Stegostoma tigrinum: one gene and its partner. The protein of the gene in region 1 purifies or fractionates together with the protein of each later gene. This does not show direct contact. Links are inferred from orthologs where the notes say so. Each region holds a gene or a part of one and is shown on either strand. Other genes may lie near its edges. The genes, in order: brinp1 and sirt1.

Evidence for each region.
Region 2: the proteins of brinp1 (region 1) and sirt1 purify together in Homo sapiens (affinity purification with western blotting; 6 studies listed by BioGRID and IntAct, with this or other methods). This does not show direct contact. The link is inferred for Stegostoma tigrinum from reciprocal best matches to the Homo sapiens genes BRINP1 and SIRT1.

The regions. Positions count from the first base shown.
Region 1 is NC_081382.1:10,768,892-10,785,250, forward strand, and holds the start of brinp1 (BMP/retinoic acid-inducible neural-specific protein 1), read left to right. Parts: upstream 1-8,116; 5' UTR 8,117-8,625; intron 8,626-16,359. UniProt on the Homo sapiens protein: Plays a role in neurogenesis and brain development. May suppress cell cycle progression in postmitotic neurons by inhibiting G1/S transition.
Region 2 is NC_081373.1:55,228,471-55,245,071, reverse strand, and holds the start of sirt1 (NAD-dependent protein deacetylase sirtuin-1), read right to left. Parts: upstream 5,981-16,601; 5' UTR 5,942-5,980; coding exon 5,761-5,941; intron 1-5,760. UniProt on the Homo sapiens protein: NAD-dependent protein deacetylase that links transcriptional regulation directly to intracellular energetics and participates in the coordination of several separated cellular functions such as cell cycle, response to DNA damage, metabolism, apoptosis and autophagy.

The DNA of each region.
Region 1 (16,359 bases):
TACAAGATCATCAGTGGGCATTCCCACTTCTGACCTTGTGAAGGAAGGAAGGTCACTGATGAAGTGGATGGAGATGATTGTGCCTAGGATACTACACTGAAGAACACCTGCAGTGACAGTCGGGGACTTAGATGATTAACTTCTGACAACCACAACTATTTTCCTTTGTGTTTGGAATGGCTCACACACTTGCATTTATGTTTCAAACTGTGGAACTTGGGTGCCACTTCTAATTGATTGGAGTTCTGAGCTGAGCCCTCCTAATTATCTCTTACCTTTACGAGCAGCCACTGTAAACCATCTGGGACAGGATGATCATTTGTGTGCCATGGCGAAATACGCTTTTGTTCATTTGCTACTTTATCTGCATTCCTGTCATCTGTGCCTAACATAATTTACTCAAAACATTTGATACTGTCTGAGCTGGTTCCTCTCATTTCACGTGGATCTTTGCAAACTTCTTATTTCTGAACTCTAACGTGTACAGAATTTAAGCGAGAATTTTATGCTTGTAGTTTCAAAACACTTCACAGTAAAAAGACTTGACATTAAATTCCAGGTTATTGGACTGTCCTGTTACACTCCTATGAATAATAAAATGTGAGGCTGAATGAACACAGCAGGCCCAGCAGCATCTCAGGAGCACAAAAGCTGACGTTTCGGGCCTAGACCCTTCATCAGAGAGGGGGATGGGGTGAGGGTTCTGGAATAAATAGGGAGAGGGGGGAGGCGGACCAAAGATGGAGAGAAAAGAAGATAGGTGGAGAGGACAGTATAGGTGGGGAGGTAGGGAGGGGATAGGTCAGTCCAGGGAAGACGGACAGGTCAAGGAGGTGGGATGAGGTTAGTAGGTAGGAGATGGAGGTGCGGCTTGAGGTGGAAAGAGGGGATAGATGAGAGGAAGAACAGGTTAGGGAAGCAGAGACAGGTTGGACTGGTTTTGGGATGCAGTGGGTGGAGGGGAAGAGCTGGGCTGGTTGTGAGGTGCAGTGGGGGGAGGGGACGAACTGGGCTGGTTTTGGGATGCAGTGGGGGAAGGGGAGATTTTGAAGCTGGTGAAGTCCACATTGATACCATTGGGCTGCAGGGTTCCCAAGTGGAATATGAGTTGCTGTTCCTGCAACCTTCGGGTGGCATCATTGTGGCACTGCAGGAGGCCCATGATGGACATGTCATCTGAAGAATGGGAGGGGGAGTGGAAATGGTTTGCGACTGGGAGGTGCAGTTGTTTGTTGCGAACTGAGCGGAGGTGTTTTGCAAAGCGGTCCCCAAGCCTCCGCTTGGTTTCCCCAATGTAGAGGAAGCCACACCGGGTACAATGGATGCAGTATACCACATTGGCAGATGTGCAGGTGAACCTCTGCTTAATATGGAAAGTCATCTTGGGGCCTGGGATAGGGGTGAGGGAGGAGGTGTGGGGGCAAGTGTAGCATTTCCTGCGGTTGCAGGGGAAGGTGCCGGGTGTGGTGGGGTTGGAGGGCAGTGTGGAGCGAACAAGGGAGTCACGGAGAGAGTGGTCTCACACACCACCCCACCAACCTCCGGATACAACGCATCATCCTCCGACACTTGCGCCATCTACAATCCGACCCCACCACCCAAGACATTTTTCCATCCCCACCCTTGTCTGCTTTCCGGAGAGACCACTCTCTCCGTGACTCCCTTGTTCGTCCCACACTGCCCTCCAACCCCACCACACCCGGCACCTTCCCCTGCAACCGCAGGAAATGCTACACTTGCCCCCACACCTCCTCCCTCAACCCTATCCCAGGCCCCAAGATGACTTTCCATATTAAGCAGAGGTTCACCTGCACATCTGCCAATGTGGTATACTGCATCCATTGTACCCGGTGTGGCTTCCTCTACATTAGGGAAACCAAGCAGAGGCTTGGGGACCGCTTTGCAGAACACCTCTGCTTGGTTCGCAATAAACAACTGCACCTCCCAGTCACAAACCATTTCCACTCCCCCTCCCATTCTTTAGATGACATGTCCATCATGGGCCTCCTGCAGTGCCACAATGATGCCATCCGAAGGTTGCAGGAACAGCAACTCATATTCCGCTTGGGAACCCTGCAGCCCAATGGTATCAATGTGGACTTCACCAGCTTCAAAATCTCCCCTTCCCCCACCGCATCCCAAAACCAGCCCAGTTCGTCCCCTCCCCCCACTGCACCACACAACCAGCCCAGCTCTTCCCCTCCACCCACTGCATCCCAGTCCAACCTGTCTCTGCTTCCCCAACCTGTTCTTCCTCTCACCCATCCCTTCCTCACACCTCAAGCCACACCTCCATCTCCTACCTACTAACCTCATCCCACCTCCTTGACCTGTCCGTCTTCCCTGGACTGACCTATCCCCTCCCTACCTCCCCACCTATACTCTCCTCTCCACCTATCTTCTTTTCTCTCCATCTTTGATCCGCCTCCCCCTCTCTCCCTATTTATTCCAGAACCCTCACCCCATCCCCCTCTCTGGTGAAGGGTCTAGGCCTGAAACGTCAGCTTTTGTGCTCCTGAGATGCTGCTTGGCCTGCTGTGTTCATCCAGCTCCACACTTTGTTATCTTGGATTCTCCAGCATCTGCAGTTCCCATTATCACATCACACTCCTAAGGATTTTTGTTTTCACTTCTTGGGTGATTTTTCATACCAACTACCTGTCTACATAGTGGAAACTTTAATTTGTTTGAACAAAGTGGGTTAACTGAATGTTTAAAAGCAGAGTTATTGGTCCAAATTTCATTTACATTCACGCACAGTTCCTTCCTTTTTTTTCAAGGGTAGAAACATTACTGTCGAGGGTAGGATGAAGAAATCACCTTTAACTGTATTCGATCATCTCAACTTTTTAAAAGTACATTCATTCATGAGATGCGGGTGTCATTAGCTAAACAAACGTTATTGCACATCATAATTGTCCTCTATAGAAATTAAGTCAACCACATTACTGTAAATGTGGACTCACGTAGGCCAGACTAGCTAAGAATGGCAGATCTTCTTCCTTATGCACATTAAATAAAAACTACTTTTATGACATAAATTGGTTGACATGATTCAGAACCTCCAATGTCCCAGGTGATAACATCTATTCTCTACAGCTCGCACAAACAGGTAGCAGTAAACTATGTTTTGCTGTTTATATATTGTGGCCTGATCAATGGGTAATCCAATAGAGAATTTTGTTTGTTACAATGTCAGCGATAACTTGAGCTGGAAGTTACTTTGTTCTGATATGACAAAACATTTTTGTCCATTGTTGTGATTTAATTTGCATTTTTGGATAAATTGCTATATTTTGTCCAGTTAAGGGTCTTGGCAATCTTCTACTTTCTGGGTAGCAGAAACAGAAATAAGTCCAGCTGCAAAAACACCTGGTTTACTCAGCGATAAAACAATGTTATTGTTCTGACTTAACAAGTCTGATTCTCATTTCATCAATCTATAGCCACTGAGATTGTCAAATCTACTCACTATCTCTCATAGTGTGCGAAGCATTGTACTGTGGCCGAAAATCACTTGAGACTAAACATTTTCCAAACTTATACCATATGGGGCTGCAAAACAAGGTTTTGATAAGAGTTGGAAAGATCCTTCCACTAATAATGCAAGGTTTCAAGGATAGGGTAGGAGTATGTGTCTAGGTGGGATGCTCTTCAGAGGGTCAGTGTGGATTTAATGGACCAAATGGCCTGCTTTCACACTGTGTAGGGATTCTATGATTGAAACAAGAATTGGATCTCAACTGAACTGTTAGGGTTAAAAATTTTTCTTCCTTCACGCATTCCTGGTCTGCCCTTTACCAAAGCAACAATGGAAGAGACAGTTTATTCCTGAATACATAAATATTCGGCACCCCATGTTGCACTAACATTTCTTTTGAAACCAATGACAGGAATTGCTCATTACCGCATTTTGTTTGAAACATTTTGATAGCATAACCTGGGGTTGCTGAAACCCCAATAGTTCTTCTCTCAGACTAGCTGACAGGGTGCGAAGCGTCTCTCAGTTTTGTTTCTGGATTGGGGAACAGACAGTCAAATATATCATCACGATTTTCTTGGCAGCACCAAGAGCCTGTTGATAAATGAAGCCTTACTCTGATTTGATGTCCATCTGTTTAGGAGATGGGTACTTGCTGTTGTGCGCTACACTTCCATTTGACACTTATTTTCCAAATTATAAATTGCAACCGTATTTTTCCATAGTGCTGCATGAGAATGTTTATGCAGATAATTCTATGCTAAATCGCATACAGTTGCAAAAGCATACATGGGCCACTCTGCCCAATTTTTCTATGCTCTCTCTTTCTAAGAGTTGTCAAACATAGTCCCTTAGCCCTGTAAATGTGTCCAGTTGACTTTCAAAAGTTCTACTTCACACATTCAATAATGCTTCCAATTCATTTCAACCCTCTGTGTGAGGGGTGGCATAGTGTCTCAGTGGTTAGCAATGCTGCCTCACAGCACCAGGGGCCTGGGTTCAATTCCCCTTCAGGCAATTGTCTGTGTGTACTCCCAGCATCTGTGTGGGTTTTATCCAGCTGCTCTGGTTTTCTCCCACAGTCCAAAGATGTGCAGGCTGGGTGGATTGCCCACACTAAATTGCCATAGTGTTCAGGAATGTGTGGGTTCAGGGAACTGGTCGGGGTGGGATGCTCTGAGGGTGGGACTTGTTGGGTTGAAGGGCCTGTTTCCACACTGTAGGGATGCAATGGATATGGAAACCTGCTCTCATTTACTGTTTAGCATTGGGTGTGTCGTCTTTTCTCCTTGAACTGGAACTTTCTCCATCTTCAAGACTTGTCACTGCTTATATGCTGTTTTCCTGTCCAGTCTTCTACTTTAGCCTATCTCTGCTGGATTCTTTCACAAATTGCATTATTTTTAATTTAATATTTTAAGACTGTCGGGGTTGAAGTAGGCCATTCAGCACATCAAACTCCTGCACCATTCAGTGTAATCATGCGTGACCTGATAATCCTCAGCTCCACTTTCCTGCCTTTTCCCAACAACCCTTGATGCCCTGATTTATAGACAGAACTTCAATCGCAACACTGAATTTTTCCATTTCTTTCTTTGTTGCTTTCCTTATCTCCTTAACTTTATTATGATCACTATTACCTCGATGCTTCCCCCCAATAATAACCTATTCGATCTACCCCATTTTACTGCATCTAGCTCTTAAGGATACTGATTAAAATAAGGTTCTGTGCACAAAGTACAATTCTTGACTTATTGCCATTTACTGCAATTCCTCCCCTTTCCTATACTGAGTATCAGAAACTGCCTGCCCACCCCCCACCACCATTGCTACTCTATTACTTTTATTATGACTATTTGCTGTTACTACAGATTCATCCCTCAGTTTCCTTCTTTATATTAAGCATCACCACCCAGCAATACTGTGAATGTTTATTTGCTTGTTCCTTTTACTGCAACCAACTGGATTCTTTTTTTCAGCCACGTTATCTATTTTAGTGAACTTCCACACTAATTGAGCATAATTAGCATCCTCAATTTCTATGTATGAAATTAGCTCAATATAAAACCCAAACATAAAACACTTTCAAGGAACTGCGTTATTTTTGTGGTGCAATCGAAGCGACTGCTGTAGTTGGAGATGCAGTTCTTTGGAGAAGCCTTCAAGGAGAGCTTGTGTTTTCTTGTCTGTGTCCGTCTGACTATCCACAAGGTCAAGGCTCAGTGGTTAGCACTGCTGCCTCACAGCGTTAGGGACCTGGGTTCGATTCCACCCTCAGGTGACTGTCTGTGTGGAGTTTGCACGTTCTCCCCGTATCTACATGGATTTCCTCCGGGTGTTCCGGTTTCCTCTCACAGTCTAAAGATGCGCAGGTTAGGTGGATTGGCTGTGATAAATTCCCAAAGTGTTCAGGGATATGCAGGCTAGATGGGTTAGCCATGGGAAATGCAGGGTTAAAGAGGTAGGGTGCATTTTGCTGTGATGCTCTTTGCTGACTTGATGGGCTGAATGGCCTGCTTTCAGACTGTAGGGATTCTATGAAGAACTGGCCAGTGGGCAGGGCTGAATTTAATCAGCGGATGGTCATGCGTGTGTGAGATCTTGCTGTGCCCGGGGGCTGCAATTTAAGAAGAAACATAGGAAGTTTCTGTCTCATGAGACCAGCCAATGTAACGGGAAGGAACATCCCCCCAGCATTAGCTACGCATGGCTCTCAAATCTGACAGAGGAAGGCAGCTTGTTCCATGAGGTTGGCAGGACTGTTGGCTCGACTGCATGCTCCAGATCTCTGTACAGTTCTGCCCAGCACTTCCTGCGGTCAGTCGCTTTTCACTCTTGTGATTTCATGACAATGATGTGTAAATGCATTTATTTACCTTCGGCCAGCACAATGGAACTGGCAAGGGAATAATGAAACCGAGTGGCATAACTCCAAAGAGACTGGCATCCAGTCACCAAGATCCCCCTTCACTTACACATGGAGTGTCTTTGGTACTGATCCAGCTCCCTCAGAGCTAGGTCTCATAGTGCGCAAAAACCCTGACACTTCCGTTGCTATCTGTCAGCCAGGGTTCCCTCATTGGAACAAATTAACAGCCCCAATCAGGGAATTCCTATTCTATGAGGTTCAAATGGCTCGTTACCGTCATTACACTATGGATAGCCAAACAATCTGAGGAAGGGTCATCAGGAATTGAAAGCCCTTAACGCTGACGTTTTTTCTTCACAGATGTTGCCACAGGCCTGCTGAGCTTTTCTAGCGACGTCTGGTTTTGGTCCTGAATCTTATATTAAACCCTGGCTTCCATTTGGTATCTGTGAAAGGTGGGGAACAAACCCATTGCCCATTTGGATTCGCTTTGGAGAGAGGAACATCTAGTCCGGAGCTAAAGTTGGGATAAAGGCGATGATGCCGTGTGAGCACGGATCCTCTGACCGGAATACTGAAACATTCCGCCCTGCCTGCGTGCAAACCTCAAGGCTTCGTTTTGCAAACAGTAATTTATTCAGCAGAAAGTAATACATTCAGAAATCGTTGCATGCAGGCAAACATCGACAGTGCATTGCGCGGGAAACAGTCATGTGAAAAAAAATATTTTCTGCAGAAAAAAAATTAATGTGGATACAGACTCAACGTGGATACAGGTTCCTGGCGTGGTTCAGAGTTGGTAATTCCGACTGAGATCTAGACTAAAGTGACTCGCAGGCCCCCGGCACGGGGGTGGGATGGTGTTAAACTGCATTCTGCTAGCGCCGGAGAAGAGAGTGAACTTTTCACCGGCTCACACACTCCGTCCCCGGTGACTGGCAACGGCAGGCTACAGACAGACCCCCCCTCACACACACACACATATACAAAATCCCTTCCTCATTGCCAGCTTCTCAGTCACTAGTCACTCCTAGAGTTGGACAGGTCGTGAGAGCAATTCCAGAGTTTTTGTTTTTATTGACAAAAGATACACAACAATCTTAAACTTCGTCTGCTGGTAACAGAATCAGTTGTGATTTCCAAAGATCCACTTCACAGTGCTTGCTTGATGTGATTTAGGAATTGGAATCAGAACCTGGAGTTTCTCTCTCTCTAATCTGCTTCAGCGACTTGCCAATCGTTTCTGGCTAAATTGCAGCTCTCTCCCTGTGTCTCCAGGGTTTAGTGTCCCCATCGCTCTCTCTCCCCCAATCGATTACTGTTCCCTCCTGTCTGCATCGCCTACAGCTCGCAGATAAGACTCTAATACCGACTTAAACATTAGGTTCTCCTCTTTTAAAAAAAACAGAATTACAGAAATTCTCAACCCACCTTTTATTGATCCCGCTCCAAAACACCTTTTAAGAGAAAAAAAATCATGTTTTTCGTGTAGATTTTGCAATTAATGACTTTAATCTCTGTCTCTAGATGTTTCACTTGGTGTACGTCCCGCTTTCTTATAATTTAAAATAAATCACACCCACCCCCTCCCGAGGGTACGAACCCACGGGGGGGCAAAGGCGGAATAAACACAGCGCGTTCAGCTCCCTGATCCGAGCTGCCAATCAATTTCTGCTTGCAGCTTGTGTATGAGGGAGTCTGCAATTTTCCCCTCCTTCCATCCCGCCCCGTCTCTCCGCCTCCTTTTTCTCATTCTGCTCATCTCTTTTTGCAATCTCCTTCCTCCTTCAGTCTATCCCTTCTCTCTCTCTCTCTCTCTCTCTGTGGCTCCCGGTTCATTCAGTCCATCTCAGTCCCTCCTCTCTCTGTCTGTCTCCAACAGTACAGGACTTTCTCATTCACTACAGATTCCTCTCACACGCTCGGAGCTCCCAATCCGAACAGCCTTTCCACACACAGACACTCGAGAATGTTACTGTATTTGGTGCTCCTGGTCTCTCAAGTCTCGGCGGACGGTCGATAATGAGCGATTTCCCCTTTTCGGTTTTATTTTTATTTTGTTTTTAAATATATCAATCCTCAACAACCCGCCTCAAAGTCTCATCGCTCCGGCATGAAAAGAAGGGATTTCTGTCTCTCCTCGTCAATCGCCTTCAGCTTCCCAGGTCCCTGCCCGAACCGGAGCTGGAACTATAGGGTCGGCTGCAACTTTATACTGAGCTGCTTCGACACCGGGTCTCTGTGCATCTTAGCCGCCCAGGAGAACGGTCATTAGGTGAGACATTTCTGCTGCCGCTGGAGGAGGGAGAGAGAGGGCTGAAAATATTTAACACGATAAAATATTTTGATGGGGTCGGGAGGGGGTGGTGCGGATGGTCAGTGCTTGAGATTGAGAGCTGCAGTGTGACTGAACAAATGAACGGCCGGGCTCTGTGTATGTGTAGCGGCGCTTGTGTTCCCCAGCCACCACATCCCTTTCCAGGTTGGATTTGGGCTCGGGAATGTTGCTGGGATCTGTCGGGAGAACCCGACGGGAGAGGGTAAGGGGTGTGTGTACCTGCAGTGCTTTCAGACTCTCTCGCTCTGAATCGCAGCCATCTACAACCCCTGCCCTTCCTCTTACCTGCGCGTCTGCTGCATGTTTCAGAGCGGGGCTGGTACAAATGGTGTTTAATGTTTACGGTCAAGGTGTGAGCTGCTGAGAGAGAAACCTGCTCGAGGCTGGAGGAAGGAGAACAGCGTGCAGTGTGCAATATATCGAAGGCGAAATGCAAACACGGAGTTGTAGGGGGTTTGAACTAACGGGAATTTGAAATTGGGAAAAAAAATCAACCATATTTTAAATACGTGCGTCTTATTTCATGCAAACTTTGCAATCGAGTAAGCAGTTTATTTTTTATACGTGTGAAGGATGCATTTTAATGGAAGTTCTGTTCCGTATAAATATTCTGTTTTTATTAATCTTGTACTACAGTATCTCACTTACCATGTAATTTTTTAAAAAGCTTTTTTTTAAAAATAGAAATATTCTGTCACCACTTTTTGCTGCTGCAGAGGTAGGCTTAATTTTGTAAAGTCCAACATTCCTTTTTTAAAAGTTTTCATGGATGTGAGACAAGGGACCGGGATCTGCAGAAAGGCGATGCTATCCCACTAGGGGGAGCCGTTACTCTATCCAAATTACCTGTGACTGGAGTGAGGTTTTGCTGTGGACGAGCTCAGTGTCTCTTTAAATGACAACTATTCGGCAAAAAAAAAGAAAATACACCTATAGTTTATTCTGTAGGGTCATCACGTGAAAGGGACGATTTATCCTGCAACATGCAGATTACGTAACATGCCATCTCTTTGGCGATCCCATAGATTGATGCAAACAGCACAGTCTGTTCTGAATCTCCTGCCTTCCAGCGTTGACAAGTTAATGATTGATTGGGTGGGTACTGAGCAAACTACCTACTCCCAGATCATTGACTACCACAGACCACCTGACCGAACCAACTGATTGATGTCAAGAAAGGTGGAATTATTCTTAATGTGCAATGCTGGTTCGCCCTAACCTGCCCATTCCCCAACCCCCAACCCATCACCCACATTGAATGTGCAACTGCCTTTCCCTGGTGCAGAATTGCTGACCTGCCTTGCCCGCTTTCCTGCTCGCCAGCTTTTCCCTAATACTGCCCTCTCCCCCACCTTACCCTAATAGTGCCCTGTCCCCCTGCCTTACCCTAATACTGCCCTGTCCTCCTGCTTTTCCCTAATACTGCCCTGTCCCCCTGCCTTTCCTTAATACTGCCCTCTCCCCCTGCTTTTCCCTAATACTGCCCTGTCCCCCTGCTTTTCCTTAATACTGCCCTGAACCCCTGCCTTACCCTAATACTGCCCTGTCCTCCTGCTTTTCCCTAATACTGCCCTGTCCCCCCGCCTTTCCTTAATACTGCCCTCTCCCCCTGCTTTTCCCTAATACTGCCCTGTCCCCCCGCCTTACCCTAATACTGCCCTGTCCCCCTGCCTTACCCTAATACTGTCCTGTCCCCCTGCCTTTCCCTAATACTGCCCTATCTTCCTGCCTTTCCCTAATACTGCCCTGTCCCCCCGCCTTACCCTAATACTGCCCTGTCCCCCTGCCTTTCCCTAATACTGCCCTATCTCCCTGCCTTTGCCTAATACTGCCCTGTCCCCCTGCCTTTGCCCGGTACTGGCTGGTTTCCTGTTCCTCACTCCACGTAGCTCCCTTGAATTTTTGTTCTTTGTTTTTATTTTAAAGGGAATTAATCATATTCCAGCATATTCCAGTGTCTGGTATCACGTTCACCATCAATCCACTCCTTCCTCTTTTCTAATCACAAAGTGATTCCTTTTCAAGCGGATGGGTTTTTTTTTGGTTTTAACCTGGTGACCATGTGTCCTGGGGAATGGGGCGCATTTGGATTCGAGGCTGTCCGGGGGCGAGTGGACTTCTTGAATTGGAAGGCAGCGTTCTGTGTGCAAAACCCCTGTAACCACAGAGAAAATGTGCCTGGGACTGCACGGTGGAGGGGGAGGGGGGGTGCAACCCACCGTGTGGCTCACAAGTGCTGTGAAGTTTCACTGTCCTTCAGAATAGAGTGGGTAGCAGAGGGGGAGGGAGGGAGGAGAGAGAAATAAACACGCACTGGTGGCTGCCACATCTGGCCCAGTGTTAGCCTGTAAGCACCCTGACTGTTCTGTTGCCCATTGAATCACTTTCAAGCGCACTTTGGCCAGTCTGTGAGAAATAAGACGGTGATCTATAGCAGAGGTAAGTCTATTGCTTATCAGTGTGAGGGAGTCATTCAATGGAAATCCATCCTCTCTGTATTATACGCTGAACACGCGCAGCAGGCCCTGGGAAAAAGCTCTGTGATTTTGTTTTGTGTCTGTGTGATTCTGGTTCATCTTGCAGTGGAGCACAAGCCTTGCAGTCTACAAAAAACTGAGCAGTGCTGCGCGCACAGAAACCAGCAGCAAGCTGCTGCGAGAATTTATTCAGGTAGCAGTGATGAATGTGGCTGGTGCAGATAGACTTGCAAATAGATTGTTTACTCACCCTCCTCAATTTATAACCAGAATGGGCTTTTAGCTATGAGTTCTCGCCAGCAGTTTAATCTCACATCATTAACTGGCTGATTGTCCAATGCCATTTTCTGATTTTATCGAAAAGAAGCTGACAAAATGAGAACCATTCTTGATGACTGAAGGCTTAAAATGTAACACAAAACCCCTGCACAGCCACCCTCAAAACTGTATTACCCATCATCTTATTCTCTGAATAATTTAATCACAAGTCCAATCACTGTGACCTTTATTTTGTGTTTTTTTTTCATTTCCTCTGTGTGTGTGTGTGTGTGTGTGTGTGTGTGTGTGTCTTGCATTTACATTCGCAAGAGCGGGGCAGCTTGTTTTCACATGGTAGTACTTGGTACCCATGCAACTGAGTATAGGGACCCTGCAAGCTTTGTCGACCGTGCAAACTGTGACGCTGCAAATGTTTTGCAACTTGGCATCTCCCACAGATGCCACAGAGCAGAATTTCTGCTGCCAAATTGAAAATCAGGGATGAAAATTGCCAGGGGTTTCTGTTACTTAATACATGCCTTTGAAAAATGAAGCATTTTCCTGTTCTCTGTTGTTACAGGTTGGAGGAATGCTCACAGGTACATTTTTAAAAAGGCAAAAAAGACAGTCAATGAATGAGTGAAGAAACTTTGTTCATTTAATGAAAACTACAAGTTGTATAATTAGCCAGGGGTTTTTGCAGTACAAGTGGCTTAAAGAGATTATTGTTGAGTTCTTGGCTGTGGGTGGAGGTGAATCTAGAAATTTTGCTTAATGCTGGTGTACAAATCCTTTGCCAGCTCCCACAAACTAAAAGTGCCTACTTGTTTAATGTAGGCATTAACCGACTTATTGTGGTTGTGTTAATATTTCTGATGTAAAAAGGAGCTTCAGATGAATTAATGAATCAGTGTGAACATGCTTCTAACATACAGTGTATGTGCTAGACTCTGATGATGAGCAAGTAGGATTAATTTCTGAGAAACAATGTTTAGTTATCAGTAAATGTTAAAAAGTGGAATTGACTGGAAGAGTACCGGAACTGAAGGTCTCTCTATTGTTTCTACCTCATGAGTCACAGTTATAGCCACCTGCACCAACTAGACATTACTAGACATGTCACTTTCAACATTTCTGTTCTAAATGTCTGCCTGAAAACTCCTGAAATACACAGAATTAGAATCAAGGATAACTGATTGATCTTGGCCAGTTTCAACACTCCAGACAGTCACTGTCATTAGTTGTAACATTCAGTTATATCACGGGTGATCTGTATCTTCAGTCAATCCATCTGTCTTGGTTCTACAACCAACAAAAGGCTTGTCTAATAAAAATCTATTGAGTTCGATTTTGAAATTTTCTATTACCTTGCCTCAGTAGTGCTTTTTGAAGGGAGAATTCTAGATCTTTGTGCAAAGTAAAGATTCTTAATAACACCCTTGAAAAAAGCTGGCGCAAATTCTAAGATCCTACCCCAATTGAAAGAAATGGCTTCTTATATCCTTCAACTGTCTTAAACACTTCTAATAGATCATTCCTCAATTTATTTTCAAGGAAATACAAGTCTAATCCGTCCTAATAATTTAATCATTTTAACCATGGTACATCCTGGGTCGGTCTCTGCAGTACCCCTTCCAGAGACACAGTTTCCAAAATGAAAGACAGTCCTCCAGATGGGAGTGTGGACAAGCTTTAACTATCTTAGACTTATATTCCTGCCTTATTCAGATTGAAGGCTAACCTTCCATTCGACAGATCAGTGTTAATTCTTGCTGGTTGGTTTTATATTTTTAGAAACTGATTATTTTATTCAGGCTGACAGCAGGTTTGGCCCTAGGCCCTCCCTGTATTTGATCTCTTGAACTCCCAACACCAACATTTTATCCCGAGCGGGTCTGTTCAGGATGACAACATGAAGCAGGCATTGAACGGGAAATATCCATCAACAGGCTAACACACTTTTAAAGTGTAATAGACTTCTGGCACAATGGTAGTGTCCTTATTTCTTATCCAGCAGGTTCAGGTTCACCTGCCCTGTAGGTATGTCAGAACATGTCTGACCAGGTTGACATAACAAAAATAACTATAACAAGTCAATGGATTAAAAAAAAAGTGATTCCTACTCTCCCACTGGCACTAAAACAAAGGCCGCTCAAGCTTAATTCCCCACCTCTGGACCAGGAGCCCTGGGTTCAAATTCCACCTGCTCCAATGTGTTGGAACATGTCTGACCAGGTTGATTTAAAAATATCTTTGAAAACTTGCAAAGCCCTGTAATGCCTTACCCCTTCTCATCCTGGAGACCAGTTACTAGTGGTGTATCATCCTGGAGACCAGTTACTAGTGGTGTACCGCAAGGGTCAGTGTTGGGTCCGCTGCTGTTTGTCATTTTATAAATGATCTGGATGAGGGAGTAGAAGGATGGGTTAGTAAATTTGCAGATGACGCTAAGGTCGGTGGTGTTGTGAATAGTGACAAAGGATACTGTAGGTTGCAGAGAGACATAGATAAGCTGCAGAACTGGGCTGAGAGGTGGCAAATGGAGTTTAATGCAGACAAGTGTGAAGTGATGCACTTTGGTAGGAGTAACCTGAAGGCAAAGTACTGGGCTAATGGTAAGATTCTTAGCTGTGTAGATGAGCAGAGAGATCTCGGTGTCCATGTACACAGATCCTTGAAAGTTGCCACCCAGGTTGACAGGGCTGTTAAAAAGGCATACAGTGTTTTAGCTTTTATTAATAGAGGGATCGAGTTCCGGGACCAAGAGGTTATGGTGAAGCTGTACAAAACTCTGGTGCGGCCGCACTTGGAGTATTGTGTACAGTTCTGGTCACCGCATTATAAGAAGGATGTGGAAGCTTTGGAAAGGGTGCAGAGGAGATTTACTAGGATGTTGCCTGGTATGGAGGGAAGGTCTTACGAGGAAAGACTGAGGGACTTGAGGCTGTTTTCATTAGAGAGAAGAAGGTTGAGAGGTGACTTAATTGAAACATATAAAATAATCAGAGGGTTAAATAGGGTGGATAGGGAGAGCCTTTTTCCTAGGATGGTGACGGCGAGCACGAGGAGGCATAGCTTTAAATTGAGGGGTGAAAGATATAGGACAGATGTCAGAGGTAGTTTCTTTACTCAGAGAGTAGTAAGGGAATGGAACGCTTTGCCTGCAACGGTAGTAGATTCGCCAACTTTAGGTACATTTAAATCGTTGTTGGATGACCATATGGACGTACATGGAATAGTGTAGGTTAGATGGGCTTGAGATCGGTATGACAGGTCGGCACAACATTGAGGACCGAAGGGCCTGTACTGTGCTGTAATGTTCTATATGTAACATTGTCAAGGTCCACTGAGAAATCTGTGCTTGTTAAATTCTGAGCTCATGTGATTTTCAAGTTTTTGTGGCTACGCCATGGGCAGCATATTTTCAGCTTCTGCGTTTACCAAGATTTTAGCTACTGGCCCCAATGTGGCTCATCTTGGTAATGCTCACTTTGATAACAAGGGTGTGTAACTGTACTAAAAGTGCTACCGAACTGCAAGCTGCAATTGTTGCTAAGAGTGCAAGTGTCTGCTCTTTTTAGTTTGGTTGGTTGAAACTTGACATTGAGAGAAACTGAAACAGATTGAAAAATATTATTGAGGGCGTGGAACATTTGACGCAGAGAGAAGGCAAAGAAATTAACTTGTACCTGATGATAGTGATCTTAATATTTAACCAAATGAATGTATAGGTGGAAAGTTGAGGCAATAATGTATAACAAGAACACACTGTGCAACTATTTAAATGATAGCTTGTGTTTATATCCTGTTGAACATGCAGTTGTAATGCAGATAATGAAAATCTACTACCTTTCAGCCATAGGTCCCCTTCATGAACATAATGTTTAATAATTGACTGGATCGTTTGCTATTCCTTGAGTTTGATGGATATTATGAAGGATAAATGTTACATTAAATTGTTGATCCAAAAACATGAGAGTAAAGTTGAGTAACATTTGGCCCTATCATTTTACCAATTAGGCACTCCAGTGGGTGGTTAGCAGTTGGAATTGTTTGTGAGAAAACTATACTTGAAGCCAGGGCATTAGATTTATTTGTAAAATAAATGTATTTGGAAGATGGGAATGTCATGATTGCAAGGTCAGATCAAATGGGCATGAGGACCTTCTTTATCTAATTTGTGACCTGTCAAAATCGTTTAATGAAGTTACCAGTCTTTTACCTTATCCCCGTGATTTAATTATGTCTTCTGAGCAGTGCCGACAAATACATTCTGTGGACTGGAATCCTATATCGAGCTTTTGAAAAGTCTGTGTTTATTTGTAAAAATGTTCCCCTTTTTGCCTTTGAGGAGATGCATACAGCCCTTAGTGGTGCTTGTTATGAAGTTTGCTCAAACATTGAAAAAAAGAAGCCTTTCACCATCAGGAAGCGTTTATTTTTGTAATATTTCTCCATTGATACATTTTAGGAATATGTTTGATGGTGCTGTAACAATGAAAATAAAAATAAATGGTAAAGGTGAAACTTCTATTTACTCAGATGTAAGCAAAGATGAATGACAAGTTTACAATGTTGAAGGTGAATTCGCAAAGTTTGTAATTTTCAGTCAGATAGTGAAATCTTAGCCTCATGACTATGATGGGAAGAATAATACCTGCCATCAGGAGGCAGGAGGTTGGTGGGGCTGGGGTGAGATGCAGTAAAATAGCTGGGAGATGCACCCAGGATGGTCCACCTTATTCATGGGGAGGTTTCTCACCAGCAGACTGCAAAATGGATCAACATTCAGCTGATTTGAGTAATCAAGGGTCCCACCGAGAGAGACTGCAGATGTTCTGCCATTGGAACTCACCGGGGCTTCTTCACATTTGGTTCAGTTTTCAAGTTTGCCATCAGTTTGCACAACTTTATATTTGTGCAGCTCACTGGTCCA
Region 2 (16,601 bases), on another chromosome or scaffold:
CTTGGATGTGAACATAGGGAGCATGGTTAGTAAATTTAGAGATGATGCCAATATTGGAGGTGTAGTGAACAGCAAAGATAGATACCTCAGAGTACAAAAGGATGGTGATCATATGGGCCAATGGGCCGAGGAGTGGCAGACGGAATTTAGTTTAGATAAACTCGAGGTGCTGCATTTTGGAAAGGCAAGCCAAGGCAGGGCTTATGCACTTAAGGGTAAGGTCTTAGGGACTGTTGCTTGGAATGCAGGTTCACAGTTCCTTGAAAGTGCAGAGCCAGTGGACAGGACAGTGAAGGTATTTGGTATGCTTGCCTTTATTGATCAGTGCATTCAGTGTAGGATTTGAAAGTCATGTTGTGACTGTACAGGATATTGGTTAGGCCACTATTGGAAAACAGCATTCAATTCTGGTCTCCATGCTTAAGGAAGGACAGTGCATAACTTGAAAGGGTTCAGAAAAGATTTGCAAGGATGTTACCAGAGTTGGAGGGTTTGAGCGAGGGAGAGAGGCTGACTAGGCTGGGGCTCTTTTCCCTTGGAGCATTGGAGGCTGAGGGGTGCTTATGGAGGTTTATAAAATCACAAGGGGCATGAACAGGGTAAATAGACAAGTGGGGTGGGGGAGTCCATAATTATAAGGCATGGGTTTAGGGTGAGGGGGAAAGATTTAAGAGAGACCGAAAGGGCAACCTATTCATGCAGAGGATGTTGTGTGTATGGAGTGACTTGCCAGAGGAAGTGGTGGAGGTTGGTACAAATACAACATCTAAAAGGCATTGGGATGGGTATATGTATAAGAAGGGTTTAAGAGGGATATGGGTCAAATGCTGCCAAATGGGACTAGATTAATTTAAGATACGTGGTCAGCATGGACGAATTGTACTGAGAGGTCAGTTTCCATGCTGTATCACTCTATGGTTCTCTAATTAATACGAGCAGCAATAGGCCATTCGTCCCCTGGAATTTCTCTGCCACTCAATTTGACAATGGCTGATCTTCTACATCAATGCCATTTTCTTATACTTCCAATCTCAATGTATCTAGTAACTAGAATCTATCTATCTCAGTGAGTCAGTCACTGTATTCCTCTGCGGTAGAGAATTTTAAAGATTCACCAGCCTCAGAGCAAAGAAATTCCTCCTCATCTCAGTCCTAAATGGTCTATCCCTTACCCAAAATATCAAACAAAGTCATGATAGAAAACAGAAGTCACCAGTTTTAAAAAAAAATCATCAGGCTGCATTATCGTCATGAATATTTTGGTGACAGTTATGAGCTGTTTCTACATATAAATTTTCAGCTGAATATTACTGAAACTGCTTCTCAATTAAAAGTACTAAAAAGACTGCACTTATAAAGCAACTTCGATAAACTCAGGATGTTCCAAACTGTCTAGTAATGAAGTACTTTTTGAACAAGTCATTTGGTGATATAGAATTTGTAATCATTGAAAGGCCATATTTTGTTGAAACTTTTTACCTTGTATGCAAGAATGCAATTTGCAGGAAATACCTAAGTAAACGAAAAATATCTACACTTTGAAAGAACTGATGAGTCATGGAGACAGGAACTACTGTGGAGAATGGAGTACTTCATGACTGACAGTTAACTGCTGGCTTTGTTTAAATTTTAAACCAAGCAAGTAGACTCGGAATTGACTCCAAGACATTGACTCAAAAATGCACTAGAGAATGGCAGTCACCTATTTTGAAAGTTGAAACCAACAAAGTTAGTGCACATGCTCCTTTTGCCTGTAAAAGGGGTACAGTGGCTCAGTAGTTAGCGCATTTTCCCCATGTCTGCCTGGGTTTCCTCCGGGTCCTCTGGTTTCTTCCCATAGTCTAAAGATGCGGAGGTTAGGTGGACTGGCCATGCTAAATGGCCTGTCGCGTTCAGGGTTGTGCAGTTTAAGTGGGTGAGCCATGGGAAATGCAGGGTTACAGGGACTGGGTGGGATGTTCCTCAGAGGGTCCCTGGGGACAGGATAGGTTAAATGGCCTGCTTCCACACTGTGTGGCTTCTACGAAAGAACAGGGGCCTGTGCATTAATAAACACAGATTCCAGTGCACAGCATGAGAACCTGAACAGTTATCAGTTTTAAAAGATTAACAAATACTGTCCAATCACAGAATTGCATTTAATGCTGGACCCTTACTAAGTTTGCAAGCAGCAGTTGCAACAAAATGTACATTTTTTCAGGAATACTTTTTGAAATGTTAAAATGTCGGAAAGCTGGCAGCCAATTTGTAAACAGCAATCCAAGTCCACAAACAGCTTTTGATATCAGCCATGTTTTTTTTGGCAACGCTGAGAAAGACAGTGTTCAGAATTCTCTGCACCTGTAATTTATGGGGCTTTTTATTTCCAATTATGGCTTAAGGTTGTATTTAAATTGGATATGGATTCTCCCACAGCTTAAATTCTTTGCTCAAATCACTGTTTATCACTGAGGGGGTGATAGAAGTTTGGAATTTATTGTTTGCAAAGGTTTTGGAATTCAAACCCTCACGTTTAAGAAGTACTTGAAAGTACATTAGTAATTGAAACACCACAGCATACAAGACCAAGGGACAAGTGCTGGAACATGGGACTAGATTAGTTTGGTATGTACTAACTGACCCAGGCACACAGGGCCTCTTTAAACTCTGATACTCAAACTGCACTATGCCATCTGTACCCTTCCTTCTTCAAACTGTAACCTAGGATAAACATAACTTTTAAGCAGCTCTACTTTTAATTATTTTTATAGTTTCGGTTGTTGTATTTCCTGTATATAGATAAGCTCGTTCCCCTAACAAAGGCCTCACTACGTCCGTCCACCTTGTGTGCCGCTATTGATGGCAGAACTTTGATTTTAATCTCTGACTAGAACTTCCTCCTGAAATTATTTCCCCTTGCTTTGCCCCTCCCCGTCTGTACATTTTATTAAAACCTAATTATTCAAGTACATGTTTCTTCAATTCCAGAGTCAAACAGCATGGAGACAGACCCTTCAGTCCAACCAGTGCATGCTGACCTTAATCTAGTCCCACTTGCCTGAGGTTGGCCCATATCCCTCCAAACATTTCTTACTCATGTACTTACCCAAAGTGTCTTTTAAATGTAGTAACCGTACCCGCATTAACCACTTCCTCTGAAAGTTCATTCTACACACAAACCACAGTGTGTAAACAAAAACCCTTGTGTCTCCTTAAAATCTTTCTCCTCTCACCTTAAAAATATGCTCCCCCCGACTTGAAATCCCCACCCTAGGGAAAGGACACCTGCCATTCACCTTAACTATAGTTCCCATAGAGATTTATAAAATAATGATAATAACCTCCTCTAGCAAAGAAGTCCCACCTTATGCAACCTCTACTTATAACACAAGCCCTATGTTCCCACAACATCCTGGTAAATCTCTTCTGAACCCTCTCCAGTTTAATAATATCCTTCCTTTAACAGGGAGATCAAAAATGGACACAGTACTCCAGAAGAGGGCTTATTAATGTCCAGTACAGCCTCAAAGTAATGTCCCAGCTCCCATTCTCAAAAGTCTGCGCAATGAAGGCAAGCATGCTAACACCTTCTTAATCACCCCATATGTGATGCAAACTTCAAAGTTCTATTATCGGCATGTTGTGAGGACCCAGAACCTTCACAGGATCCTATGTCTTCAACTGTTTCTTGATATTGCACAGACTGAATTGAATTGGCTGAAGACTGACATATGATGTTGAGGACAACTGGAGAAGGCCAAGAGGGATTATCCATTTGGCAATGCTGGTTGAAGGTTTTTGCAAATGCTTCAGCCTTATGTTTCACACAGGTGTGGTAGCCATCCCCATTGTTGAGGATGGAACTCCGCCAGTGAGTTGTTTAATTGTCCACCACCATTCAGTTCTGGACGTGGCAGAACTGCAGAGCTTAGATCCGATCTGTTGGTTGTGGAATTGCTTAGCTCTGTCTATCACGTGCTGCTGATGCTGTTTGACACACATGTAGCCCTGCTTCGTCATTACACCAGTTGACACCTATTTTTTGGGAATGATAGCTGCTGTTCCTGGCATGGCCTCCTGCACTTGAATCAGGGTTGATCCTCTGGCTTGATGTCAAAGCCAGAGTGGGGAAAATATGCCAGGCCATGAGGTTGCACATTGTGTTCGAACAGAATTCTCTTGCTGTTGATGATCCATGTTGTCTCACTGATGCACAGTCTTCAGTTGTGAGATCTAGTCAATCTCATTTAGTGACACACAAACACGATGGAGGGTATTCTCAACAAGAAGACCAGGCCTTGTCTCAACAAGGACTGTATGGTGGTCACGCTTACCAATACTGTCATGGACAGATGCATCTGCGGTATAGCAGATTTGAGGGGATGAGATTGGTGAGGGTAACGTCAGCTATGTTCTCTTGTTTTATTCCCTCACACCTGCTGCAAATCCAGTCTAGCAGCAATGTCTTTTAGGATCCGAACAGCTCAATGAGTAGTGCAGCTATCAAGAAATTCTTGGTGGTGGATACTGAAATCCCACACCCAGGGTACATTTTGTCACCCTCATTCCTTCCTCCAAGTATTGTTTAACATGGAGAAGTACTGATTCATCAGCCAAGGGAGGATGGCATGTGGTAATCAGCAGGAAATTTTTTGTCCACATTTGGCCTAGTGCCTTGAGACTCCAATGAGGAGTCAATGTTGAGGACACCCAGGGTAATTTCCCTGGCCCCATCACCCTTCCCCAAACACATCCCCCACTCCCACAACACCACCCCAAATATGTACTGCTGTGTGACCAGCTTTGCTGCGTCTGCCTGACAGTGGGACATCATCTACAAGACATGATTCTGTGAGTGTGAGACAGCTCTCCCAGTTTTAGCACTGGCCCCCAGTGTATCTAAGGAGGGTTTCGCAGGGTCAGCAGAGCTGTGTTTGCTGGTGCTGTTTCTGGTACCTAGGTCAAAATGAGGTAGTAGTCTGATTTTACTTCTTCCATAAGACGTTCTAGTCATTTTCACAAGTCAGTCGTAGATAGCAGGGAAAAGTCAACCATATTGCTGTAGGCTGTAGATTTGCTTGCCGAACCAGTGTGTTTGATTGCAAATGTTTCGTCATCCTGCTAGATGATGTTGTCAGTGCTCACCGGGGCGCACTGACAATGTTACCTACAGGGTGCCGAAGTGTCTGCAATCAAACACACCGATTTGGAGAGCAAGCCAACAACCTCATCCACAACCTGAGCTACAAGTCTTCTCAAAAATATTGCAGTAGAACTGGGGTAATGTAGGCCAGGCCAGATAAGAGCAGAAGTTACCTTCCCTAGAGAACATCAGCAAATCAAACAGATTTTTCGGTCAATGGTTTCGTGGCAATTAGACTCTGGTGAGTTCAAAGCTCTTCATCTGCCACGGTGGGAATTGAACTCAGTACAACGCCAGGGTCTAATGGTAATACCAGGGTGCCACCTCCTGCCCTATTTCCTGTAATCAGCCAAATGTCATTCAGTACCCACTTACCACCCTTTGCCACCTCACCCCTTACCTCAGCTGCATTTGATAGCTGTCTGCCTTTGTTACCCACTGCTCTCCTCCCCAGAGTACACACACCCCCTGCCTCACTCCCCCTGTGCCAGACTCTCCCAGCCCACCATCACATACCACCTCTCCCACACCAACCTTCCCTTTCGACATGACCCATGCACACAGGCTTCAATCACCCTCCACGGTACTCCCTACACTTACACCACACCCCCACCTGCCCTTGCCCCAGGCCCCGGTACCTTCCCCCGGCGCCGCCCCATTCTCCGGGCTGTCACTCGGCGGCAGATCGTGCCGGCTGTCGGTGGCGGAGTCCTGCTGCTCGGCGCCAGGCGCCCTCCGCCGGCGGTCCCCGGTGCCAGCGGGGCCTGGTGCCGGGCCGTCGAGCCGGGCTCTCTTCCGGAGCTGATCGCCGTCCGCCATCTTCCCCAGCACCGCCCCAGCCGTCACGTGGGCCTGGGGTCAGGGGGCACCGACAGCCGCGCCTGCGCAAAAGGAGCCCGGGGGCTGGGTGGATGAGGGTGAGGTGAGGAAAATGGGGTTGAGGGAGGGGAGCGGATCGAAGGTGTGGGTAAGGGGAGTGGGGAAAGAGTACGCAAAGAGGGGGAGGGGGAGGGGGTGGGGGTGGGGGTGGGGGGGAGTATGGGTGAGGAGGGTGTGGGTAAGGGGGGGGTTTAGGGGAACGTTTGCGTAAGGGGAGGTGGAAGGTGTGGGTAAAGGGGTAACGGGGAAGGTGTGGGTAAGGGGGGGAAGGTGTGGGTAAGGGGGTTTGGAAGGTGGGGGTAATGGGGGAGGGGTGGAAGGTGGGGGTAATGGGGGAGGGGTGGAAGGTGGGGGTAATGGGGGAGGGGTGGAAGGTGGGGGTAATGGGGGAGGGGTGGAAGGTGGGGGTAATGGGGGAGGGGTGGAAGGTGGGGGTAATGGGGGAGGGGTGGAAGGTGGGGTAATGGGGGAGGGGTGGAAGGTGGGGGTAATGGGGGAGGGGTGGAAGGTGGGGGTAATGGGGGAGGGGTGGAAGGTGGGGATAATGGGGGAGGGGTGGAAGGTGGGGGTAATGGGGGAGGGGTGGAAGGTGGGGGTAAGGGGGTTTGGAAGGTGGGGGTAATGGGGGAGGGGTGGAAGGTGGGGGTAATGGGGGAGGGGTGGAAGGTGGGGGTAAGGGGGTTTGGAAGGTGGGGGTAATGGGGGAGGGGTGGAAGGTGGGGGTAAGGGAGAATGGAAGGTGTGGGTAAGGGGATGCGGGTGGAAGGTGTGGGTAAGGGGATGCGGGTGGAAGGTGTGGGTAAGGGTCGGAAGAGGATGGAAGGTGTGGGTAAAGGGGTTGGAAGGTGTGGATAAGGGGGGTTGGGTGGAAGGTCTGCGTAAGGGGGTTGGGGATGGGGCTGGGGGTGGTGGGTGTGGGTTACAGGGGTAGAGTGGGTGTGGGGATGGGGAGAGGGGTGTGTGCAAGCGGTTGTTCACGGGGGAGATGATAAGGATAAACAAGCATAATTTATGAATGAAGCATACTGCTCCAAACCATCTTGTGTACTTCAAAATGCAGGTCCACTGTATTCAAATTCTGTTGTTTTTCACTGGGGGACTGTGAGGTTGTTTGGTCGGGGTGGTTAACAGGGAAAGAAAGAGTGGGTGTTGGGTGAATGTTTCTTTTGTAAGATTCTATTGCCTACCTGCTTGTCACTACCCTGGTTGGTTAGCTCTGCAGTGATCCTGATTGACTCATCAGGTCTCACCAATTCATCAATTAAGGATATGTTACTGTCACAACTGTGTGGACCACCCCTCAGTGATACCAACCAGCAATCCCTCACAACCTGCAGAATTGACTACAGGAACAACATGTATTGGATAGTGTATTGGTTTGGCACTGATCCTTGCCTCCTTCATCTTCCTATCCTTCTGCATTCTGCTCTATTACCCTGATCAGAAAAAGACGAAGCGTCTAGGCCCAAAACGTCAGCCTTCCTGCTCCTCTGATGCTGCTTGGCATGCTGTGTTCATCCAGCTGTACATCTTTTTATCTCAGACTCTCCAGAATCTGCAGTTCCTACTGTCTCTGCATGAAAATCAATCAGCTCGACACGCCAATCAACAACTCCAAATGCAGTCCGAGCTACAGATCTTTGATAAAACATTAAATTGTTGACTTCTATTTTGCAGTAAAGGTAAATCTGTAGATTTGGGATTTTAGTCAATGAGTTTACAAGTTGTTTATCATTGGGCAATGATCTTGAGGTTGAGATAGATAACGTGGAGCTGGATGAACACAGGTGGCTAGGCAGCGTCAGAGGAGCAGGAAAGCTGATGTTTCCGGCCGGGATCCCTCTTCAGAAAAAGGAGAGAGACTTCCTGGTTATAGTATGCTATTTCATATTTTTCACTCTCTCTGCTCAAAAGCAATTTCCTGAAATAGAATTCTTTTGTGGATTCCAATGTGTAACTTCCAGGAAATTGTGAAGCAGTCAGGATGTTCAGTGGCATTTAGAACAATGTTACTTTCAGCTCACTAATCTTTGTCTATTGATGTGCTCATGAATTTGGCTCAAACTGGACAAGTGATCACAGCAGCCAATATCTGTCCTTTTTTAAAACCAGTGTTTTGCTCTGGAAAGGGTCTCAGGAATGACTCTTAGATGATGGGATTTGATATTGATCATCTATTTTTACTGTAATCAATATTATATTAAAAACAATGTATAAATGCAGACTGTTGATGATGATAATAAAATAGCAAATCCTCCAATTCTTGCCAAACTGGTTAGTGATATATGGGAACTCTAATGGGCACATAGTTCATTTGTGACATTTCATTCCTGTGCAATGACTTCTAACCTAACTTGTAAGAAATCTGACTTAGTGTGATGCGTGGGCATGAATGCACTGTCAGAACTTCGGTCCTAGAATCCCTACAGGGTGGAAACAGGCCCTTCGGCCCAAAAAGTCCACACCAGCCCTCAGAGCATCCCATCCCCCATAACACCTAATCTACATATGCCGGAACACTATGGGCAATTTAGCATGGCCAACCCACATCTTTGGACTGTGGGAGGAAACCGGAGTACCCGGAGGAAACCCACACAGACAGACACGGGGAGAACGTGCAAACTGCACACGGACAGTTAACTGAGGCTGGAATTGAACCAGGGTCCCTGGTGCTGTGAGATAGCCGTGCTAACCACTGAGCCACCGTGCCACCCCACGTTAGATAATTTGTTACATTGGAGTTGTTGGTTGGTTCGCCGAGCTGACTGGCTTTAATGCAAATATTTCGTCTCCCTTGTAGATGGCATCATCAGTTCTGTGTAACCTTCTTTGAAGCATTTGTTGTTCTGTCCCGCACTGAATTTCTATGGTCTGTTGTTATGTCTCACAGCTTGTATGTAATATATTTCGAAGAGATGTGCTCATGAAATCATCGCCACATCATGCCAGGCGACCTAAGGGTATAAAGGTCTCATATTCCATGTTAACCAGGGCCACTTGAAGATGCTACCATTTGTAATTGAGTAGCTTCATCTTAGCCTAAACACTGAAGTACCTGCAACTGTAATGTATGTATGTACCAGGAGCTTCAGTAGTGTCAGTTACCTCATTCATTACACTGTTGCCTTGTTAAGTTGTAGGAGCTAACATAAGCACTCAACAGATACGTATACCCGAGATAACAAAGTGTGGAGCTGGATGAACACTGCAGGCCAAGCAGCATGTTAGGAGCACAAGATGCTGCTTGGCCTGCTGTGTTCATCCAGCTCCACACTTTGTTATCTCGGATTCTCCAGCATCTGCAGTCCCCATTATCTCTGATACGTATACCCTACTGAAGGCAGTAGTTGGCACTATGGTGGTGATCCAGTGAGAATGCCACAGATGCTGTAAACCTGAAATAAACTATAAGGCCTATTTGTTTGTCATTACCATCGATATTTTGCTGAGTCTCAAACCCTCCAAGGGCTAGGTAGTGATGTGACACTGTGTCCTAACCTCTCTGGCCTCAGCTCACTCACTTCTGCCCCTCCCAATTCCTAAGTCTCTGCTATGTTCTTGGGTAAATTGTTTCTTGCCCATTCGGCAACCCCACTCCTCACCCAAGCAATACAAGGCACTCGGAGATAATGGGAACTGCAGATGCTGGAGATTCCAAGATAATAAAATGTGAGGCTGGATGAACACAGCAGGCCAAGCAGCATCTCAGGAGCACAAAAGCTGACGTTTCGGGCCTAGACCCTTCATCAGAGAGCCTCTTGTGGAAACTAGGGCTCCTTTTTGATGGTATGAGTTGCCTCATTCCATTAAATGCCCAAAGAGAAACTGTTGAGTGAAGGTAAGTCTTTAAAATAAATGGGCGATACGGTCAGCTGGTGTGTTGTTTCGGCAAAACCAGAAAAAAGTTGTAAATGAGAGACAGAAACTGTTAGAAAAGCTCAGCAGGTCCGGCAGCATCTGTGGAGAGAAATCAGAGTTACCGTTCGGGGTCAAGGTGAGAACTGAGCTTGGTTCTGAGGAAGCGCCACTCGCCCAGTAAAATTAACTCTGATTTCTCTCCACGGATGCTGCCGGACCTGCTGAGCTTTTCCAGCGATTGCCGATGTTTTGGGACGTTGCGGCAGATGCCTAAGTTAACATTCACCACAGGGACACTCACTCACTGGATAGAGACAGTCGGCGGTAGGTTTAACCTGAGAGTCAGGTGAGGTGCAAGGTTGAGAAGGTAGGATCTTCATGGTAACCTCAGCTGATGTGGGAAATGAATGCTCTGCAGCACAAACCAATGCTCCCTCCAACTGATCTAATTGCCTCCACCCCCCCCCAGATGGCAGGTGGGTAAAACACAAGTGACAGGAGAATGAGGGGATGGGGTGGTGGTGTGTTATGGAAGATGAGGGATTGAGTGACAGGAGGGTTAAGGTGGTGAGTGAGGGGGTAAAGTGATAGGCGAGGAAGTGATAACATGATGGGGTGGATGAGAGGTTCAGATGGTAGGTGAGTGACTGAGCCAGAGAAGTGGCAGTTGGTTAGTGTGTTTGGAGTGTGATGTGTTGGAGCTCTTCTTAAGTTACAAAAGAGTTTAGTGGGGCAAAAGTAGTGAAGATATTTCCACGCGTAGATGAGATCAGCTTTGTGGACTACACATGCATCTGGTTTGCTGCTTTTTGGTGAAGCTTTGCAAGAACCGAATTCCGTTGTTTGTGGTCAGTTCCCAGAAAGTCCGACCCCTTTGTACAGTTGCTATGTTTGTACTTTTTCCCCACACTTTTTACAAACACCATCTGTGTCTCTCACAGCATTGGCTCTATGTTGCGGATAGTGCAGCTCTTAAGCTTATCGTCTGCCTTTGTACATCTGGTTCCCATTTGCCATGAGAATGACTGAGAATTTAATCATTAACTAACTAAAACTTTCAACCCCTTCAGAATACAGCTAGCGAGATCTAAACACACAGCAAAACAACACTTCAACCTGTTTTGTGACACTGTCTGATCGATAGATTGAAGTCTAGAGAAATTACTTCCCTATCTCAGTTCTCTCATGTTGTATTTAACTGACTGGTGGTTTCCTTTTGGACTATGAAGACCTCAATGTGCCATTTTCAAATCTGCTGATGTGAACCTTTCACAAATCTGAGAGCTTAAACCTGGCACCAACAGCCTGTAGATTACTAACCAAACGCTAGTTTAGAAATTTCACAAACTAAATCCTGTTGAAGTGATAGTTCTCTGAACTGCTCCAAATCCTCCTTTCAGGAGAAAATGGTGTCTTCTGAACCAAATTCAAAAACATTTTGCCCATCCTAAGCTCTTCTGAGCTCATAACAAAGCTAATAATCTTAGATGTTTAACCTGTCTATTGTGAACAGAATTGTATACACATCTTTCCATTAACCACAAGGTCCACAGTCACCTGCTCTTTGAAGGAAGTTGGATTTAAATCACTGTTCTGGATGGACTTTATGACCTTTCTTTGTAAAAAGGAAAAAACCGTTCACAGGAATAACTAACTCTTACATCCAAAATACCGACAAGGATGATCTATATGAATTACACACGAGTTTTGAGAAGATTTGTAGCTCAGGTTGAGGTTCTGGATGTGAGTTTGCTCGCAGAGCTGGAAGGTTAGTTTTCAGACGTTTCGTCACCATACTAGGTAACATCATCAGTGAGCCTCCGACGAAGCGCTGGTGTTATGTCTGGCTTTCTATTTATCTGTTTAGGTTTCCTTGGGTTGGTGATGTCATTTCCTGCATTGGTGATGTCAGTTCCTTGTCTTTTTCTCAGAGGGTGGTAGATGGGCTCCAAAAGAATGTGTTTGTTGATGGAGTTCCGGTTGGAATGCCATGCTTCTAGGAATTCTTGTGCGTGTCTCTGTTTGGCTTGTCCTAGGATGGATGTATTGTCCCAATCAAAGTGGTGTCCTTCCTCATCTGTATCTAAGGATACGAGTGATAGCGGGTCATGTCGTTTTGTGGCTAGTTGATGTTCATGTATCCTGGTGACTAGCTTTCTGCCTGTTTGTCCAATGTAGTGTTTGTCACAGTTCTTGCAAAGTATTTTGTAGATGACGTTCATTTTGCTTGTTGTCTGTATAGGGTTTTTTAAGTTCATTAGCTGCTGTTTTAGTGTGTTGGTGGGTTTGTGGGCCACCGTGATGCCAAGAGGTCTGAGTAGCCTGGCAGTCATTTTGGAAATGTCTTTGATGTAGGGGAGAGTGGTTATGGTTTATGGTTCATGGTTCGTGACCCACTATCACTAGTATCCTTACATACAGATGAGGAAGGACACCACTTTGATTGGGACAACACATCCATCCTAGGACAAGCCAAACAAAGACACGCACAAGAATTCCTAGAAGCATGGCATTCCAACCGGAACTCCATCAACAAACACATTGATTTGGAGCCCATCTACCATCCACTGAGAAAAAGAACAGGAAATGACATCACCAATGCAGGAAATGACATCACCAACCCAAGGAAACCTAAACAGATAAATAGAAAGCAGGACATAACACCAGTGCTTCATCGGAGGCTCACTGATGATGTTACCTAGAATGGTGACGAAACGTCTGAAAACTAACCTTCCAGCTCAGTGAACCAGCTTACATCCGGAACAAAATAAAGACCCACTCTTTTGTGGACCGAAAAGAGGAGAGCACAACTGTGTTGGAAGTGGAAGGAAGACGTCAGGTTGGCTGTGCACCCTTGCAACCGGTGGTTCTTAATGCTGGCTTCGGCCTAACGCTGGTTCAGGGGAGCAGCCAACCTGCAACGATGGCTGCAGCGACTGCTCATGCCCCGGGTCAGGGGGTCCGGAACACCATCTGCGTTACCGTGATGAAGGTGCACCTGTGGACCGCACCTTCTTCATGAAGAGGGTCCTGTTGGACTGTTGTGGGTTTGCTGCTGCGGACATTTACTGCCTGCAGGATTTCCCCGGAGGGGGTTTTTACGATGTGACCTTCAGGAGTGCCAAGCTTTGCGAGCGCTTCCTGGAGGTGTTCAAGGAGAAAGGAGGTGAGGGCCCCCTCTCCGTACTGACTGCTGTCCCGCTGTTCGTGATGCCGGTGCAGAGGAGCCGTATGGTGACTGTACACATGTACAACCTGCATGTGCCAGCAGTTGATGTCCTGACCTTCCTTGGAAGGTACGTGAATGTGGAAGGGGACCTAACCAACATCATGGACCCCTTCGGGATCTGGACCAGTAAGAGGCAGTCAGGGTGACGCTAAGGACGGGCTCGGACGGGAACATCATACACCCATCGTCCAGCTTCGCGATCGGCGGGAGCAAGGGCTAATTGACCTACGCAGGGCAACCTAAAGTCTGCCATGCCTGTGGGAGGTCAAGTCATGTGGCGGCCGACTGTAAGCCACCATCTGCAGGAACTGCAGGGAGGACGGACACCTTGCAAAGGATTGCCCACAAGAGAAAAGCTGCAACCTTTGCGAGGAAGCGGGCCACCTCTATATGGCATGCCCGCAGTGGGGGACCACCTATGCCCAGGTCACCGGCAGGGGCAATGCGGGGCAAGTCCCCCGGAGGAGAGGAAGGCACCAGGCCCCTACAAGGACCCCACCTAATGTGCAGGAGGGCCAGGTCGTGCAGGACGGCCCAGCCCCGCAAGATGGACCCGAGGCCAGCAAAGCGCCCCTGCAGGCTCCGCTCCCCCCCCCCCACCCCCCCGACAACCCGGAGTCGATGGAGGAGCTGACAGGTGACCCAGGGGAGTGGACGATGGTCCAGAAAGCAAGGAGGAAGGCGCACCGGCAGGCCCTGGCACCACAACCATCAGGCAGGAAAAGGCAGGTACAGGGGGGCGATAAGAGCTCTTCTGACGAGGGAGATTTGGAGGAGGCCCGCCCAAAGAAGAAGCTAAAGATCTCAAGGGAGAAGGAAAGCGGCACCCCGATTCCAAGTGATGGGAGGCATCCTGAGGCTCCCTCCGACACCCAGCCATGCGCTGCTGGGGCCCTGGAGGGCGCCCGGAACTTTCAGGTGGGAAGGAGGAAACAGCATGTCCCCAGCCTGACCCAGAGCCGGACTCTCCCACCTCCGTACCCCCGATGGGGGGATGCCGCCCAGAAGGCAGCACGGACGGTTTCCTGAGCCCGGAGAACGTCCAGCAGTTAGCCTGGGCAATGGGCATGAAGGGACAGATGGAGGTGCTGGACCTTGGACTTGGGGAGGGTACTGCGGTCACTGCCCACAATGGGCGTACGAGTTGCGAGCATTAATGTGCGCAGCGTCAAGTCCACTGCAAGATGTGTGTCCACGTTGGCCTTCCTGACCACCGTCAAGGCAGACCTCCTGTTTCTGCAGGAGTGCAGGATACCGCACCTCAGCAGGTACGGGAAATGGTCCGGCGCCTGGACCTGTGGGCCTTCGATCTGGTCGGGGGGTAACGACTGTCGCTCCTCGGGCCTGGCTATTCTGCTGCGGGGGCGCAACTTCACCATCTCTCAAGTTCAGGAGGTGGTGGGGGGGGCGCCTCCTAGTGGCTGATGTCACCTACAGGAATGCTCCCCTGAGGCTGATCAACGTGTACGCCCCAGCGGTACGGAGTGAGCGGTTGGCCGTCCTGCAGCAGCTTCCACCCCTGCTGGCTACATCCAGGCCGGTCATCCTAGGCGGAGACTTCAACTGCATCATCGATGCAGATGGAAGATCCGGCATGGGGACAGCGGGTGGGGGAATCAACTGGACGTCACGTCCAGATTCCTGATGGGCATAGGGAAGGACACCAAGCTGTTTGACATCTTCAGCACCCCTGCAGACGGAGCACAGCAGAGATACACCTGGTCGCAGCCAGACGGGTCTATTTGCTCAAGGATAGACTTCCTGTTTGTGTCACGGGCGTTCTCAGTCAGGACCACCGGCGTCGAGCCGGTGTTCTTCTCTGACCACTGCCTCCTGCTGGCCAACTGTCACTTACAGGACGACCAGCAGGCCGGCAAGGGGACGTGGAAGCTCCACACGACTGTTGACCCCAGAGAACGTCGAGGAGCTTAACAGAGAGTACGCTGGTTGGAGAACCGTGAAACCCCTCTTTGAGTCTCCGGGCAACTGGTGGGAGACGGTGAAGGAGAACATCAAGAGGTTCTTTGTCCTCCAAGGGTGTTCGGAAGGCGAGAGAGAGGCGGGGAACGCTGTCGCGACTCCAGAAAAGGGTGCAGAGCCTGCTTCTTCTGCAGTTGATGGGGGTCGATGTCACGGAGGACCTCCGCGAGGTGAGGGGCCAGCAAGCCTCGCTCTTCGCCGCGGAGGCCTCCAGGATAATCTTCCAGTCCAGGGTCCGCTCCGTGGAGCAGGACGAGACGTGCTTGCATTTCTCCTTTCAGAAGGTGCACAAAGAGATCTCTGTGCTTAGCTGGCTGAAGAAGGATGACAGCTCGGTGACGTCGTCTCGGCCCGACATTTTGAGGATCAGCAGATCCTTCTATGCCGGACTGTACGACGCGAAGCCCACGGACAGCACAGCCTCCGAGTCGTTCCTGTCATCTATCACGGAGGTCTTAGACAACGGCACAAGGGAGTGGCTGGACCGGCCGATATCCCTGGACAAGTTGACCAGAGCCCTCAAGTCCTTGGAGAGGAATAAGACTCCCGGGAGCGACGGCTTACCGGTCGAGCTGTATTCCGCTCTGTGGGACCTGGTCAGCCAGGACCTGCTGGAGGTGTACGATAGTGCGCTTCGGGCAGGGGAAATGTGCAAGTCCATGAGGAAGGGCATCATCACCCTCATTTACAAGAGGAAGAGGGAGAGGGAAGAAATTAAGAATTGGCGTCCCATTTCACTATTGAATGTGGACTACAAAATCCTGGCCAAAGTCATAGCCAACCGGGTCAGGTCTGTCCTGGAGTCAGTGATTCACCCTGACCAAACCTGTGCTGTGCCGGGCAGGAAGATCGCTGAGAGCCTCGTGCTCATCAGGGATACGATCGCCTACGTGCAGGACAGGCGGGTGGACACCTGCCTTGTCAGCCTGGACCAAGAGAAGGCCTTTGAAAGGTCCTCTCCAAATTGGGGTTCGGGGAGGGCATCCGCAATTGGATCCGGCTGCTCTACACCAACATCGTTAGCGCAGTCTCGATCAACGGGTGGGAATTGGACAGTTTTCCCGTCAGATCTGGAGTCAGGCAGGGCCTCCCGCTCTCTCCTGCCTTGTTCGTGTGCTGTGTGGAGCCCTTCGCCGCATCCATCAGGAAGGACATGAGCCTGAAGGGCGTGATTATCCCAGGCAGCGGAGGCCTTCAGGTCAAGACCTCCCTGTAAATGGACGATGTCGCCATCTTCTGCATTGATCATCGGTCGGTGAGTAGGCTGTTGGACATCTGCGGCCAGTTTGAACTGGCCTCGGGTGCCAAAGTCAATAGGGGTAAGAGCGAGGTCATGTTCTTCGGGAACTGGGACAACTGCTCCTTCATCCCCTTCACCATCAGGACAGACTACCTGAAGGTGCTGGGCGTTTGGTTCGGTGGAGCTGGGGCGTGCACTAAGACTTGGGAGGAGTGTATCACCAAACTGAAGCAGAAGCTGGGCAGGTGGATGCTCCGGTCCCTCTCCATCACAGGTAAGAACCTGGTTGTCAG